Diceros bicornis minor: one gene and its partner. The protein of the gene in region 1 purifies or fractionates together with the protein of each later gene. This does not show direct contact. Links are inferred from orthologs where the notes say so. Each region holds a gene or a part of one and is shown on either strand. Other genes may lie near its edges. The genes, in order: PTPN12 and PSTPIP2.

What was found.
Region 2: the proteins of PTPN12 (region 1) and PSTPIP2 purify together in Homo sapiens (affinity purification with mass spectrometry; 4 studies listed by BioGRID and IntAct, counting the BioPlex papers as one, with this or other methods). This does not show direct contact. The link is inferred for Diceros bicornis minor from reciprocal best matches to the Homo sapiens genes PTPN12 and PSTPIP2.

What each region holds. Positions count from the first base shown.
Region 1 is NC_080742.1:15,353,728-15,361,320, reverse strand, and holds the start of PTPN12 (tyrosine-protein phosphatase non-receptor type 12), read right to left. Parts: upstream 3,175-7,593; 5' UTR 3,155-3,174; coding exon 3,056-3,154; intron 1-3,055. UniProt on the Homo sapiens protein: Dephosphorylates a range of proteins, and thereby regulates cellular signaling cascades. Dephosphorylates cellular tyrosine kinases, such as ERBB2 and PTK2B/PYK2, and thereby regulates signaling via ERBB2 and PTK2B/PYK2.
Region 2 is NC_080755.1:39,090,755-39,098,597, forward strand, and holds the start of PSTPIP2 (proline-serine-threonine phosphatase-interacting protein 2), read right to left. Parts: upstream 3,113-7,843; 5' UTR 3,005-3,112; coding exon 2,972-3,004; intron 1-2,971. UniProt on the Homo sapiens protein: Binds to F-actin. May be involved in regulation of the actin cytoskeleton.

The DNA of each region.
Region 1 (7,593 bases):
AAGACAACTCATAGAATAATGTCAAGTGGAAAAATCTTACCCTCACTAGTCATTAAGAAATTCAAATTTACACAAGATACCATTTTTCAACCAAATTACTGAAGATCAAGATAATTATTATATGAACACTCATATATTACTGACAGTTGTATAAACTGACACAACTTCTTCAAAAAGTTATTTATAAACATATATTAAATGTTTATATCCTTTTATATAGTACTTCCACTACTGGAAGATATCTTTTGCAATAATCCAAAATAAAGAAGTTTCATGCATAAATGTTTATTACAGAATTATGATATAAAATAGCAGAAAACAAATGTCCTAAACATTCAACCATAAGGAAATGGTTAAGCTATAAAATCGTCACCAGGTGAAATATTATATAGCCACTTGAAATTATTTTTACAAATGAAAAATGCTTATTAAAACAAGTTGGAAAAAACTCAAGAATATAAAATGGTATATGTAGTATGGTCACAGAGAAGCATTAAAACACTAACAGACAGTGTCTCTGGGTGATGAGACTACAGAAAGGCTGGACAGAATAATGGAAAGAGCAGTTTAGATGCCCACTCCATTTTCCTAAAGGTAAGGTATTATCAAATATTACTCTATAATTTATGAATTTGAAATAACGAACATTATTACTTTATAACTGAATAGGGTTATAATAGCTAGTTTATCTCTAAGGCTCGGTTCTAAAATGCTAAAATTTAAAAATGCATTTTTTAATCCACATCAGAATTTAAAGATAAGAACAGTTAGAATCTATCACCTGATTCTATTCTCTTTTCATGGCAGAGGGGACATGGTTTCCCCCCAGCCTTCCAGTAAAGGGAAAAAGCAGCACCAATTAGAAGTCTTAATTATAGCTATTGCTTATCAAGTCATGGAATAAAAAAAGCAAGCACTATAAAAGAATACCTTTAGTCATCAAATCTCAAATGTAGTCACCTAGCTCTCCCTAGGTATTATGGAAGAAAAAGGAAACTCATTTAGTCCTTGAGAAATGAAATCTCCAATAGGAATCCCTGACTCATCCCCAAAGCATGAATCCTAAGGCTACTTCCCCAGTACTGAAGTTCAAAGACTGGGCACCTGTCCTGATGGCCTGCATCACCAAACAATGCTCTTTCCTGACAGGATATGACCAGGGATAACAAGACGACTAGCATACAAAGGAGAAGTGGCCAGGGACCGCAGCACCTCTTCACCCATAACCAAAATAAGACTGTAAAGACTAGTTTTAAATATTCTAAGTAAATATTTTCTTCTATTTTTGCTAAAGAGCAGCAAAACGGGACTCCGACCAATTATTGTGACATCATTCAAAAGACACCAACATAATCAAAATTCTCAATAGTAAGATGGGAAAATGTCCTTTTCTTTAGCCCTCTCAGATCAAAAAGCAATTTTTCAAAAATACATAGGCTAAATATCGAGAGAACATGTTAAAAAGTAAGGCATAGATAACTTAACCCTTTCCAAAAGACACTAACAAAATCTTACTCCTATCCTCTATTATTGGTCTAGGGAGGCGGGAATCACAAAACTCAACAATACTATTATAATATTGTGTAAGGTCAAGGATTTACTTAACAAGCTGTTAACAATTTTAACGGTAATGCTTTACTAGACCGGTCTCTTCAAAATATGAAAAAGTATTTCAGTACTAATTTCACCTGAACATTATAAACAATTCAACCGTACTTCGAAATAAAAACTAGCCAATGTTTGCCGCTCATTCATTTTTACAGAAATTAACTGTGTATCCTTTTTACAATCAAGCATTTCGGAGTTAAGTGATTATTCTTGGAGGTGTATTTTGCCCAGGAGCAAAATTTTCCCTAGCTTATTTCCCATTCCCAAACCCCGCCAAGGCTAAGGAGCAACCACTTCCCAAAGTCCCACTTCCTTTTCCATTCCCCAGACCTCCAGGGTTTCCAACGCCCCAGTCTTGCGCAATATCCGTAGGAGCAGCAGCCGCAACCACCGCCTCCTAAGCCGGGAAACAACCCTAAAGGGAACATTGTCCAGCAGAAAAATAAAGGGTGGGGGGGCAATGTAGGAAGTCGACTTCTGGTCCCACGCCTTCGGATCTGACCCCCTCAGCGATGGATCTAAAGCAATTTCACGAACAGGACTTTTAACCTCCTCTCCAGCCCGCCTGCACAAGCGGAGGGCGGAAAGTGGGGGGGCGGGCAGGCTGCGAAGGTTATCTCCCAGTTCAGGGCTTCGGCCCGTACGGTCGCCTCCGCCCCACCAGGACTATTGTTCCCAAGTTCCCCACCCCCACCCCGGATAGGAAGTGATAGTCACATCCCCTCCGCCTTCGGCAATAACCCCGCGGGAGCCGAAGCAGGCTTCCTTCAGGATAACCCCCCTTCTCACACACTTAGCCCCTCAACCTAGAGTCACCCTGAGCGCAACACCATCTCAAACCTGAGTCTCAAGGGACACGAGACGGGACAGGGGTGAATGGAAATGAGGCAAACCACGAGATTCCTTGTGGACAATCCATTCCCAGGCGTCAGAGATAATGAGTGCAAACCTAGAATCGGCAGAGGTCCCATCCACCCACTTCTGAGACCAGCTGGAGCAGAGGCACCCCACGAGTTAATGCCCACCTCCACACCCGTGCCTCGGCCGGCCGCGCTCCGCTCCTCCCGGGCAGACACCCTGTCTCGAGCCCGCCGGGAGGGGCAGGCTGCACCGGGAGGTGAGCGGAGACCAGCCCCCGGCCTGCACGGCACTCGCCTCCGGCTCCTGGCCCGGGAAACAATAGGGGGTCGCGGGCGGCCGTGCGGGGTGCGGGCACGGCCCGGCGGCCGCTCTCTTCGCGCCCTAGGCGCCCGCTGAAGGGGCCGCGAACGCGCGTGGAGAGGAAAGGAGGCCCGGATCTATCACCTCCCGCCAGCCTCCGAGCCCACCCGGCGCGCGCCCCCTGCTCACTGCCACACACAAAGCGCCGGCGGCCCGGCCGGCCCGGCGAGGCGGCGGGGGGCTCCGGTGCCGGCGAGAGGAGGCGACGGCGAGGGGAGGGACTCACCATGAAGTCCCGGGCGAAGTTGTCCTCCCCATTGTGGTCCGGACTCTTCATGGCCTGGACCCTCTGGATGAATTTCCTCAGGATCTCCACTTGCTCCATCCTCCCGCGTCCCCCCGGCCGCGGCCGCTGCCCCCCCCGCCGCCGCCGCCCGCCCGCCCGGCGCAGAGCCCGCTCTGTCTGCCCCAGCTCGCTCCCCCGGCCCGTCCCCTCCCTCCTGACCCCCGCCAACCCCGCCGCTCCCTCCTCCTCCCCACCGCCCGAGGCGGCGGCCGCGGCGGCCCCGGCCCGGCTCCCGACACCACAACTTCCAGGAGCAGCCGCCGCGCTCCCACAGTAAGAGGCGAGCCGCTGCGGCTAGCGCCAACCCCAACCCCCCGCTTGCTCCATCCTCCTTCCCCGCCCTCCTCCTCCTCAGTCCGAGACGCCGCCACCGCCTCAGGAACTCGGCTCTCCGCTCGCCCTGCCCCCCTTCCCGGTTCCTCCTCCCCGCCCCCCTCCCCACTAGCAGCCGCAGCCGCCGCCGCCTCTCCCCATGGGCGCGCCCCCGCCGCCACCCAGACGCGCGGTCCCGCGCTGCGGCTCCGCCCCGGGCGCTACGCCGCGCCGGTCCGCCCCCGCCCGCCCGCCTCCGGGCCACTCCCCCAAGCCCGCCCCGCCGGCCTCAGCCCGGCGAGGAGTGGCTGGAAGGCGCTTTGGCTGCCGGCGGGGCGACTTGACCCAACTTCCGGGGCGGGGTCCCGCCCGGAAAGCTCTAGGTCTGAGGAGCGCTGGGAGAAGGGAGTTGGACAGGGAGTGGGGGAGACCCTAGTCGGTGGAGTAGGACTTGAGCTGAAATTTGAGGTCTAGCCGCCTATTAGTGGGAAAGGCGTATTTCTAGAGTGCTTCCGCGCCGCTGCCAGCCGCGGGATGGGACTACAGGTCCCGGCCGGCAGAAGTCCAGCAGCGGGGGCGGGAGGGGGCGGTGGTGGGAAGAGAGGAAGGCTGGGAACTGTAGTAGTGTCGTCTCCACGGTCACAGCAGGTATGTCTTCGTCTTACTGGTGGCTTGAGTGTTGACGGCAGTTAGACCTTGGCGCTTTGGGGAATGGCTACGGCCAAGAAAAATGAAACTCTCTTTGAGTGAAAGGACGTTTGCTTTTTGCAAATCCGTCTAAACCCAGCGAGTGAGCGCCAGAGATCCAGAGTGCGTCCTAATACATACCACGCCTATGGTGGGGGCTCAGTATTTGCTAAATAGAAGGGAATTTGTCTTCTTGCCTTTAGATTCGCAGGACTTTAGAACTGAATAATAGACTTTTATCCATAGGATGCACTTTATACATTGTTATACGTCTTGTACATCTTCTAGTAATCAGAACATCCATGCTGGTCTAATTCACCATTTTACAAAGAAAGTGATTTGCCCGAGGTCCACCAGCATATTTTTAGCAGAGCCCAAACTAGAACCCAAATTCTTTTGCTTTCAGTACACCACCATATCGCCTCTCACTAAGGAACATAAACTTATGATAATGTGATAGAAGTGAAAGATTTGATCCATGGACTTATTTTGGTCACTTACACCCAGAAACGACATTTTTTACAGATAGATTGGTCAGAGAATTTGCTAAAATAGGAAATATCAGTGTTAGGCCCCTTTTCCCAGATGAATATTTAGAAGCACCATGGAATATAATGATAAACTCATTGAAGAAAATAGGTATGAAAATAGGTATGAAGAAAACACTATTTCCTCTTTGTTTTAAAGAAAAATATTTTTCTTTAAAATAATACAACTAATATATACCAATCCACTCCTCTCCTCAGAAAGATGCACTTCCAGATGTGCCCTTCCAAATCTCTTCCTGTGTATTTGTATGCGTATATGTGCATGTAAAAAGATACAATTTTGCTCTGTATTTTAAAAATTTACTTAGAGGAATAGTTTAATTTCTAAGGTAAGCTCTATTTGAAACAAGGGTCTGGAATAGTCTACATTAATCCGATACTGAGACTCGGTTTCACTGGATGTGGGCTTAATCACCTACTAATATAGCTCTCTATAGGTACCCTCTTCCCCCAGAACTGGGAGAGAAACTAGACTGTAGGTGAAGAAATGGGCAGATTTGATAAGTCAAAAGAATGTACAAACCAGGCAGTGATTGATAAAGACTGTATGCTAGATAAGTTGTGTAACAGTGTAGTGACAGTCTGGTGGGAAGTGTTGCTTGTTTGAATTGTTGAATCCTATTTTGGCTAGTGTTTTTGCAGTCTTTCTCTCTCATATTGGCAGGCTTCTCTCTTGCAACACTTGAGTGTTCTTGGAATTCTTAGCTGCTACCTTTGGCATCTGATGTAGGTTAGAGGAAACAAATGTGAAGTATCTTTATGGATTTAACTCTCTTGGAAAGGTTTAGCAGTGCTTTCCTCTTTTTACTATATTTAGGTTTTGTTTCAATCTACAGATATTTTTTGAGCACTTTAAAATATGAGAGGTTGTGCTGTGTGTGTGTGTGTATGTGTGTGAGAGAGAGAGAGAGAGACAAAAATTTTAGGGATGGCTTCTTTTAGAGCTTATAGCTTAGTTCAGGAGACAGGAAAAACAGTGAACCCTTAGTTCCTTTAAGTTAATACATGCAAGATGAGTGATACAGACAATGAGTGGTTTAACAATTCTGAGAAGAGAGAATTGTGAACCAGGTTGTGAGCATGAGATGGTCAGAGAGGACCTTGAAGGATAAGTGAAATTAGGGTTGAACAGGAAGAATAACTCCCAGGCAAGAGGTGTGATGAAACAAAAAGCATGAAGATGGCAAAGCAGAAGTTTGAAGCAGAACTTTTGTACCTGTGTGAAGGCTCTAAAGTAGATTGGGACCCAACTCTGGAGAGCATTGAATGGACGGTTAAGGATTTGGACTTGATACTGTTGGCAGTGGAAGCCACCAAAGGTTTCTCAGGATAGGATTAAAATTATGAAAATATTAACCTGGCACGTTTTGGATAAATTGTGAATTAATAAAGGGAGAGAATGGAATGAGAGATATTCGGAGCCAATACATGAAGCAGCAAAAGGTAAAACTAATGTCATAGCACTGCAGTTACAAAGACACAGATGGAGGTGAGAGAGACTGAAAGAACTGACAAAACTAGGTGACTAACTGAAGAAGGCAAGAAAGAAGGTAGAATAAAAAATGGCTGGAATGACCAAATTGGAAGAGATCAGAAAGTTTGACAGAACACAAGGCTGTGCATGGTATGGGCAAATGGGGACTTTCATACACAGATGGTGCGAGAAATTGGCATAACATCTTTGGAGGCAATTTGGCCATAAATGTATCAAAATGGAAATGGCATGCATGCTTTGACTGAAAAATTTATAGATAATATTTACAGCTTTGTGCAAATATGTATGCTTATTGTAGCCTTATTTGTAATGGCAGGAGTGGAAACAGTGTACGTGCCTATCAAAAGAGCATTGGTTAAAAAACAAAACACTTATGTATAATGAAGTTCTGAGAAGCCATTTAAAAAATGAAAAAAATAATCTGTGTATGTTGATGTGGAATAGGCCCCATTTACTTATTAAATGAGAAAAGCTTGGCATACATGTGTTTATGATATTCTTCCTTTTATGTAAAATGGAATGTGGATAGAATGCTTGAACATACATAGAATTTTTCTGAAGGATACTTCAAAAACTATTAGCTGTGGTTGCTTCTAGGAGGGCCTTGAGAATCTTTGGTGGAAAGGAGACAACTTCCAATATGTATACCTTTTTATATTCTGAATATTTTACCATGTGTGTGCATTACTTTTCCAACAAAATTAAATCTATTTAATTAAAAAAATGTTTTAGACTTTCAATCCAGATGATAGGAGGAATGGCAGTATCTTGAGTAGAAACATGCAAATAAAGAAAAAAGGAAGCAGATCTTGTTTGGGAAGTTTTTAAAAACAGCACAGGCTAAATTTCAGAATGCCCACCTACTTACACCACAGTTCTTGAGAAACTTGACCACCCTGCCCATCCTCAGCCACAGCCAAAGGTTTGGGCACTTGACCCAAGTTAACCAATCCATGTAGGCTGGCCAGTGACCTATGGCCTGGTGTAGGAACATGATCTGGGCCAATCGGTTTTCACTGTTAGGAATCTGAATTTAGAAACCTAGAGAAAGTCGTTAAACAGCAAGGGCTGAGGCTGAGTGCCATGGGGTAGAATTAGGGATTTGGCAGGCAGAAGCCTTGTGAGACAGTAGAAAGTTTAAAGAATCTGGGTAGTCCAGAAAGGAGCATTAAGCAGGCGTGCAGAGATGTGTAGAGATGTCATGGTATAATAACCCGTGTGGTGGTGGGAGAGATGAGGAGAATCCCTGGAACAACTTGACTTCCTCATAACTTTTCAGGACAGGTTTGGTTGACATTTATTCCATAAATAAATTCTGCTTTTCCTGAAACAGAATAGGGCCATAATAAAGAGCATGGGCTCTGAAGTGAGAGAGATGAAGGGTCAAAAACCTGCTCTGTTTCTTACTCAGGGCAAGTCACAACCTCTCTCAGCTT
Region 2 (7,843 bases), on another chromosome or scaffold:
TTCTTTCCCCAAAAACCAGTTCCTCCTCCCGACTTCCTCATTTTGGGGCCCCACACCTCATTCTCCAGTTCACCTTACACAGAGCCTCCTCCCAGCCCTCCTTTCCTCTCTCTGACTGCCCACCTTCAACTGGTAACCTTGTCCTGTGGCTTTGACCTCTTCTACCCTCTGCATTCCTCCCACCTGCCTCCTCCTCTCCCCCTCCCTGTGGTCTCCACCCTGGAACGGACCTCTTCTACCCTCTTCTGCCACCTCCTGCCCCTTCCTCCTCCACATCCTTGAGGCCAGGCATCAAGGCCAAAGCCTGCCCTCCCTTCCTCGCTTGCTCAGGAGGAATCTAACCAAGATGGTGGTCTTACTCCTACAAATGCCACCTCCATTAGAGCTCCTTACACAGAGAAAGTATGTCATAAATATTTATTAAATTCAATCAACTGATTCCCACTTGTGTTTCCAAAGGTTTCTACCTTATCTAATCACAACTTTCTCATCCTTGAAACCTGAAAGTTATCTCCATCCCCTCAGTGCTCACAACAGCCTTGCCCACCCCCCCATCCCCTGAGAGTGTTTTGAAAGCCTTGCAGGCAGCCCCTGAGGTCCCCAGCAGTTTCTCCCAGGTCCTGGCTGACTGTCCTGTCTGCCTGATTCCTGTGCATCCATATGTAAGGCACTATGGCAGGTGCTGGAGGCTCAGCTGATGGTGACACCCAGTGCCTACCCTCCAGGAGCTCATGGTTGGAGCTGGAGGAGAAAGAAACATTCACGTGAAGGTCCAATGGTGACCGACTGTCTACCTCTGGCAGTGCCAAAGGGGCCATGCAGACAGCTATGCTGGGACACTCTCGCTGAGCACCAGACTTGTTGAAGGCACCCACTGAGCATTTAGTCCATGCAGAGTCCCGCTCGACCATTTAACAGCTCTAAGACCTTGCAAATGTTGCTTAACCTTTCTGCCACTCAGTTTCCTCATCTGTAAAATGAGATAGTAAGGGCTGGCCCCGTGGCTTAGCGGTTAACTGCGCGCGCTCCGCTGCTGGCGGCCCAGGTTCGGATCCCGGGCACCCAGAGACACAGCGCTTCTCCAGCCACGCTGAGGCCGCGTCCCACATACAGCAACTAGAAGGATGTGCAGCTATGACATACAACTATCTACTGGGGCTTTGCGGGGAAAAAAAAAATTTTAAATGGGATAGTAAGTAATCTACCCCATAGGGTAATTGTGAAGCTTAAATGAGTAGCGTGTGTAAAGCATTTAGAAAGGTGTATGCCACAGACTGTACACAGGAATGTTAGCTATTATTGTTTTTATTATTTGACATAAAGCGTCACCGGAAATTAGAGATGGAAGATAACCTTTGCAAACTATTTCTCAGGATGTCAGACACCTTCTCAAAGCATAAGCCGAGAAAGTCCTTTCCCCCAGACCTTCACCCAACGGCTAAGTCCCAACCCAGACCTCATTTCTGCCCCTCCCCTAACCACTCCTGCAAGTACACATTGGGAGCAGCTTTACAGCGGCCTGGGAGCCCTCAGGGGATGGAGGCTGCTGCTCTCCCCTGGCCACATGCCCTGTGGGCCTTACAGATCCACTTTAGTCATTCAACAACTATTTGCTGAGCACCCACTGTGGTCAGCCTGTGCAAGGGGCGGTGGCACTGAGAGCCAGCACAGTACCTGTCCACAACATGCTCACATGTTTGTAGGCCCCCGAATTCAAAACTATAAACGAACAAATGCTATAAAGGAACAGAATGTGTGCCATGTGAGCAGGTGACGGGCCTATCGGGTGCAATCAGGAAAGGCTTCCCTGAAGGGTCATACTTGGGCTGAGATCTGAAAACCGGGTGTCACACTTTTTGAGGTGGGGAAAGGCAGGTCTCTCTGCCCTGCTTTTTCCCATAATGTCTGTCTTGGGACCCAAAAGTCCTATAATCTACCTGACGAATTCCCAGGCCTCCTCACAGGGCCAACTGTGAGGTCATTCACCCTCTCCGTGATGCTCCACAGCCCTGCACCCTAGAAGTGGGCAGTGCCCCAGAAGAACCTTGAAAACTCTAGAAAAAGGGTCTAAACTGTGTCCCTGAGGCCACACAGCCAGGTTTCTCGACCCAGCAACCCACGAGGGGGGATAGGGACCTGCCAAGCAGCTGTGAAGCTAAATGGAGGGCAAGCAGGGTCCCAAGTAAGAAGTCGGGCCACTTGGCAGCTGTAGGTCAGCTCTGAGGTGTGTTTCCTTCTTGCTCCTGCCTTAAAGAGATGAGAGTGGTTCCTCCTCCGGAGGGGATACAGACCCTTGAGGGGCACCTGGGGAGTGAGAGGAGAGGGGAAGGGGGCACTAGACAGAGGAAGGGGGACAAGCAGACCTGCTGCCTACTAGCTGGACCGGTGCTACCTCCTGTGATGGCCCCACCAGCTGGGAGGGTCTCACACAGGCATCGCCTCCCTCTGGGCTGGGCCAAGGCCCGGGGAGGGGGCTCAGGAAACACGGCTGCCCGACGGGAGGACGCTTCTGCAAGAGAAGCCCTCGAGGGTCTGCGGGGGAAGTCCGGCGCTAACGGGGCTCGGACGGACTGTGCGTTCCCGCGGACCCTCGGGGTGACTGCCGCTGTCAAGTCTCCCCAAATCCGCGCGCGGCGCAGCCTCCGGGGCCACCGGCGACTCTCCCCGGACAGGTCGCCGCTCCCTTTGGGTCTCGGTTTCCTCACCTGCGCGATGAGGGTGGATGTCCCGACTCGACGAGGCTCGGGCTACAGCCGCCCGCGGGAGGACGCGCTGCTGGGGGTCCGGGGACCGGAGCCCGGGGACGCGAGGACGCGCGGCGGCGGGGGGCCGGCGGAGAGGGACCGGCGGGCCGGCGTGCGCTCGGGACACGGTCCCCAGCCGGCTCCGCGCACGGTCCTGGAGTGGCGCCGCGCTGGCCCCCCGCCCGGGGTCCCGAGCCGGCGACCGGCCGCCCGCCCCGCCGACTTACCCAGAAGTTCCCCTTGAACAGGGAGCCCGTCATGGCCGTGCGTCGGGGGTGCGGAGCGGAGCTGGAGCGGAGCCGGGGCGGCGGGTCACAGCCGGACAGTCACGGCCCGCGGTCCCGCAGCCGCCTCCTCGGAGTCCCACAGCCGGCCGGAGGCCCGCCCTGGGTCCTAGACCACGCCCGATTCCGCGCTGCTCGCTCCCGCCCCGCGGGAAACCCAAGCCTGGACGCGCCGCCCTCGTGTCCCGTGCGGGGACCTAGGCAGATTTCAAGCCCCGGGCGTCAGGCAACGCTCAACTAGGGAACCCTAAATTTCCCCCTCTTTCAGGAAGACTTTGAGGCTTGGAAGGAACTGATCCTGTGGCCTGCCCCAAGTAGGCTCAGTTACTGCCCACAAGCTCCCTGTTCCCCAGACCGAATTCCTCGCAGAGAAATTCAGGCTCAGCGGAGCCCTCGCCTGATGGAAAAGTGGTCGCGTGGACCAGGAGTCAGTTCCGTAAAGCCTGGGGACTGACAATGCCAGCGGTCGCGTGAGGTGAAGACACTTCAGCGAGTCGTGTGCACGACCTCGGGTGCACCCGCTGCAGATCAGCCCTTCGGCCACTTTTTAGTCTAAAAGCCGTGGAAAGGTCATTGATATTGTTTCCCCTTGACTCTAGGTCCCTTAGTGAGGCCCTTTCAGGGCGTCCAGGAGCTCAGCCTCTCCCTGACCCCTTCCTCATTCTCAGGACCCAAGACCCTTCCCAGCAATCCCACCTCAGCAATAGGAGCCCAGAGCTTCCTTCGTCTCCCTCCACTTCCACCCCTAAAAACATAACCCCAGGGCGAGGCAGACTCCTCCTTGCTTTGTAGTAATAAGGTACTCTGGGACAAAGTACTGCTGCCTGCTACACTCTCTGAGCCAAAACTGAGGCCCAGAGAGGCTGAATGACTTGTCTAAGATCACAGAGTATTTAAGGGATAAAGGGCTGGCTTAGAGCTCCAGCCTTCTAAAGGGAGCCAGGGCCAAAGACGAACACCGCTCCTGGGGCAGATCCACCCTAAGCAGAGAGTAGGTGCTGGATGAAGGTCACCGGGACCAAGACCGAGTGCTGATGCCCAGCGCACAACCCAGGGCCTGGAGAGGCAAGCATTTGCCTCTTAATCAGGTTCTAGCTCATTCTAGACACAGTGAAAGGGCAATTGCTTTTGAAAGGGGTGATTTGAAGGACAGCTAAAAGGTTCTGCCTGGTAAAACCACCCCCAGTCCCACTGTAATGAATCCCACCTGTAGAGTCATCCACACCTACAAAGACGGAGAGGGGTCCTCCAGCCCTGGGTTATTCCAAGGGCACGCATCCATTTATCTGGTTGTTCATCTCTTTGGAGAGTAGTGGGGTTAGAAGGAAGGCAGAGAAGCCTGGCAGCACCATCCGGGTGCAGGAGAGGCCACAGTAAACAAACTAAGCCACAGGAGGGGTGAGAAATAGCCGCTAACCAGGGAAATGGAAGAAGCTAAAGTGTAGGGCCCGACCGTGGCTTAGCGGCTAAGCGCGCGCGCTCCGCTGCTGGCGGCCCGGGTTGGGAACCCCCGGCGGTGGCCAGGTCCCACATACACCAACTAGAAGAACGTGCAGCTATGACATACAACTATCTACTGGGGCTTTGGGGGAAAAAAAAATAAAATTATAAAAAAACAAAAAAAAACGAAAGTGCCAAAGACAGGACCAAGATTTTTCCTGGAAGTTTTGAAGATTTTGGAACAAACAGTTTAGATACAATTCTAATTGTCTATGTTTTAATTTTTAATACATATATTTTTAAGTCTTAGAAAGCCTTACAAGCTCTCACGGTAGTTCTACTTGATTTTCGCCGCTTAGGCCTCAAAGATCCCTGAATTTTAACTCTCCTCCACCACCTGGTGGCAAGATTGCAAATTGCAAATGGTTGTCCTTGCTGCTGGAAAATACTACTCATTCATTCCTCCAACACTTAAGCTTATCACCAGCACAGGTGTTGTGAAAAAAAAAACAAGTAAAATGTGTACTATATCCAAGGGTCTATAAAAAATTTGGGAAATTTTGCTAACGAAGTTAAATAACACTACTAAAGTAATTATGACATGAAATTTAATGATCAATACATTTAAGATAACCACTGCTAATATTTTGGCATAATCTCTTCCAATAATATACATTGGCATTTGCTGTACATAAAGTTTTGGGTCTTGCTTTTTTAACTTAACAATACTTCATAAGTATTTTCTAAAGGCCTTAAATACATTTTTCCTAACAAAAGTTTGATAGCACACAGTGCTGACCAAATGGACAGATACTCTTGCATGTAAAAATTGAAAACCTCTGTGAACAGACATTTGGCCATGTCATCAAAATTTAAAATGGACCTTTTTTTTTTTTAGTGAGGTCATATTGGCTTATAACATTGTGTAAATTTCAGGTGTACATCACTATATTTCAGTTTCTGTGTAGACTACATCGTGTTCACCAATAGTCTAGTTGTTATCCGAAAGCATACATGTGTGTCCCTTTACTCCTTTCACTCTTCTCCCACTCCCTTCCCCTCTGGTAACTACTAATCTGTTCTCTTTATCCATGTGCTTGTTTATCTTCCACATGTGAGTGAAATCATGCAGTGTTTGTCTTTCTCTGTCTGACTTATTTTGCTTAACATCATACCCTCAAGGTCCATCCACGTTGTTGCAAATGAGATGATTTTGTCTTTTTATGGCTGAGTAGTATTCCATTGTGTGTGTGTGTGTGTGTGTATACACACATACATATATACCACATCTTCTTTATCCATTGATCAGTTGACGGGCACTTGGGTTGCTTCCACGTCTTGGCTATTGTGAGTAATGCTGCAATGAACACAGGGGTGCATAAGTTTCTTTGAATTGCAGGTTTCAAGTTCTTTGGATAAATACTCAGTAGTGGGATAGCTGGATCATATGGTATTTCTGTTTCTAATTTTTTGAGAGGTCTCCATACTGTTTTCCATAGTGGCTGAACCAGTTTACGTTCCCACCAGCCATGTATGAGGATTCCCTTTTCTCCACATCCTCTCCAACATTTGTTATTTTTTGTCTTGGTAATTATGGCCACTCTGACAGGTGTAAGGGGATATCTCATTGTGGTTTTGATTTGCATTTCCGTAATAGTTAGTGATGTCGAACATCTTTTCATGTGCCTATTGGCCATCTGTATATCTTCTCTGGAAAAATGTCTGTTCATATCCTCTGCCCATTTTTTGATCAGGTTGTTTGTTTTTTTGTTTTTGAGATATATGAGTTCTTTACATATTTTGGAAATCAATCTCTCGTCAGATACATGATTTGCAAATATTTTCTCCCAGTTGGTGGTCTGTCTTTTCGTTTTGTTCATCGTTTGCTTTGCCTTGCAGAAGCTCTTAGTATGATGTAGTTCTATTTGTTTATTTTTTCTTTTGTTTCCCTTGCCTGAGTAGACATGGTATTCAAAAATATGATGCTAAGACTGATGTCAAAGAGTGTACTGCCTGTATTCTCTTCTAAGAATTTTATGGTTTCAGGTCTTACATTCCAATCTTTAATCCATGTGGAGTTAATTTTTGTGTATGGTGTAAGATAATGGTATACTTTCATTCTCTTGCACATGGCTGTCCAGTTTTCCAAACACTATTTATTGAAGAGACTTTCCTTTCTCCGTTGTATGTTCTTGGCTCCTTCGTCAAAGATTAGCTGTCCATAGATGTGTGGGTTTATTTCTGGGCTTTCAATTCTATTCCATTGATCTGTGTGCATGTTTTTGTGCCAGTATCATGATGTTTTGATTACTATAGCTTTGTAGTATATTTTGAAGTCAGGTATTGTGATGCCTCCAGCTTTGTTCTTTTTTCTCAGGATTGCTTTTGCTATTTGGGGTCTTTTGTTGTTCCACATAAATTTTAGGATTCTTTGCTCTGTTTCTGTGAAGAATGTGATTGGGATTGCACTAAATCTGTAGATTGTTTTAGGTAATATGAAGATTTTTGTGTGTGTGTGAGGAAGATTAGCCCTGAACTAACAAGCGATGCCAATCCTCCTCTTTTTGCTGAGGAAGATTGGCCCTGGGCTAAGATCTGTGCCCATCTTCCTCTACTGTATATGGGATGCTGCCACAGCGTGGGTTGACAAGCGGTGCGTCGGTGCGCACCTGGGATCCAAACCTGCGAACCCCGGGCTACAGCAGCAGAGTACGCACACTTAACCGCCACGCCACCAGGCCGGCCCCATGAAGATTTTAACTATGTTTATTCGTCCAATCCATGTGCATGGAATATCTTTTCGTTTCATCTTTGATTTCTTTCAATAATGTGCTACACTTTTCAGTGTATAGGTCTTTCACCTCCTTGGTTAAATTTATCCCTAGATATTTTATTCTTTTTGTTGCAATTGTAAATAGGGTTGTATCCTTGACTTCTCTTTCTACTAGTTCATTATTAGTGTATAGAAATGCAACTGATTTTTGTAAGTTGATTTCATACTCTGCAACTTTGCTGTAGTTGTTAATTATTTCTAATACTTTTCTGGTGGATTCTTCAGGGTTTTCTATATATAGGATCATGTCATCTGAAAACAGCAAGAGTTTCACTTATTCCTTTCCAACATGAATACTTTTTATTTTTTTTTATTGCCTAATTGCTCTGGCCAAAACCTCTAGTACTATGTTGAAGAGGAGTGACAAGAGTGGGCACCCTTGTCTTGTTCCTGTTCTCAGTGGGATAGCTTCTAGTTTTTCACTGTTAAGTATGACGTTGGCTGTTGGTTTGTCACATATAGCCTTTATTATGTTGAGGTACTTTCCTTCTATACCCATTTTGTTGAGAGTCTTTATCATAAATGGATGTTAGATCTTGTCA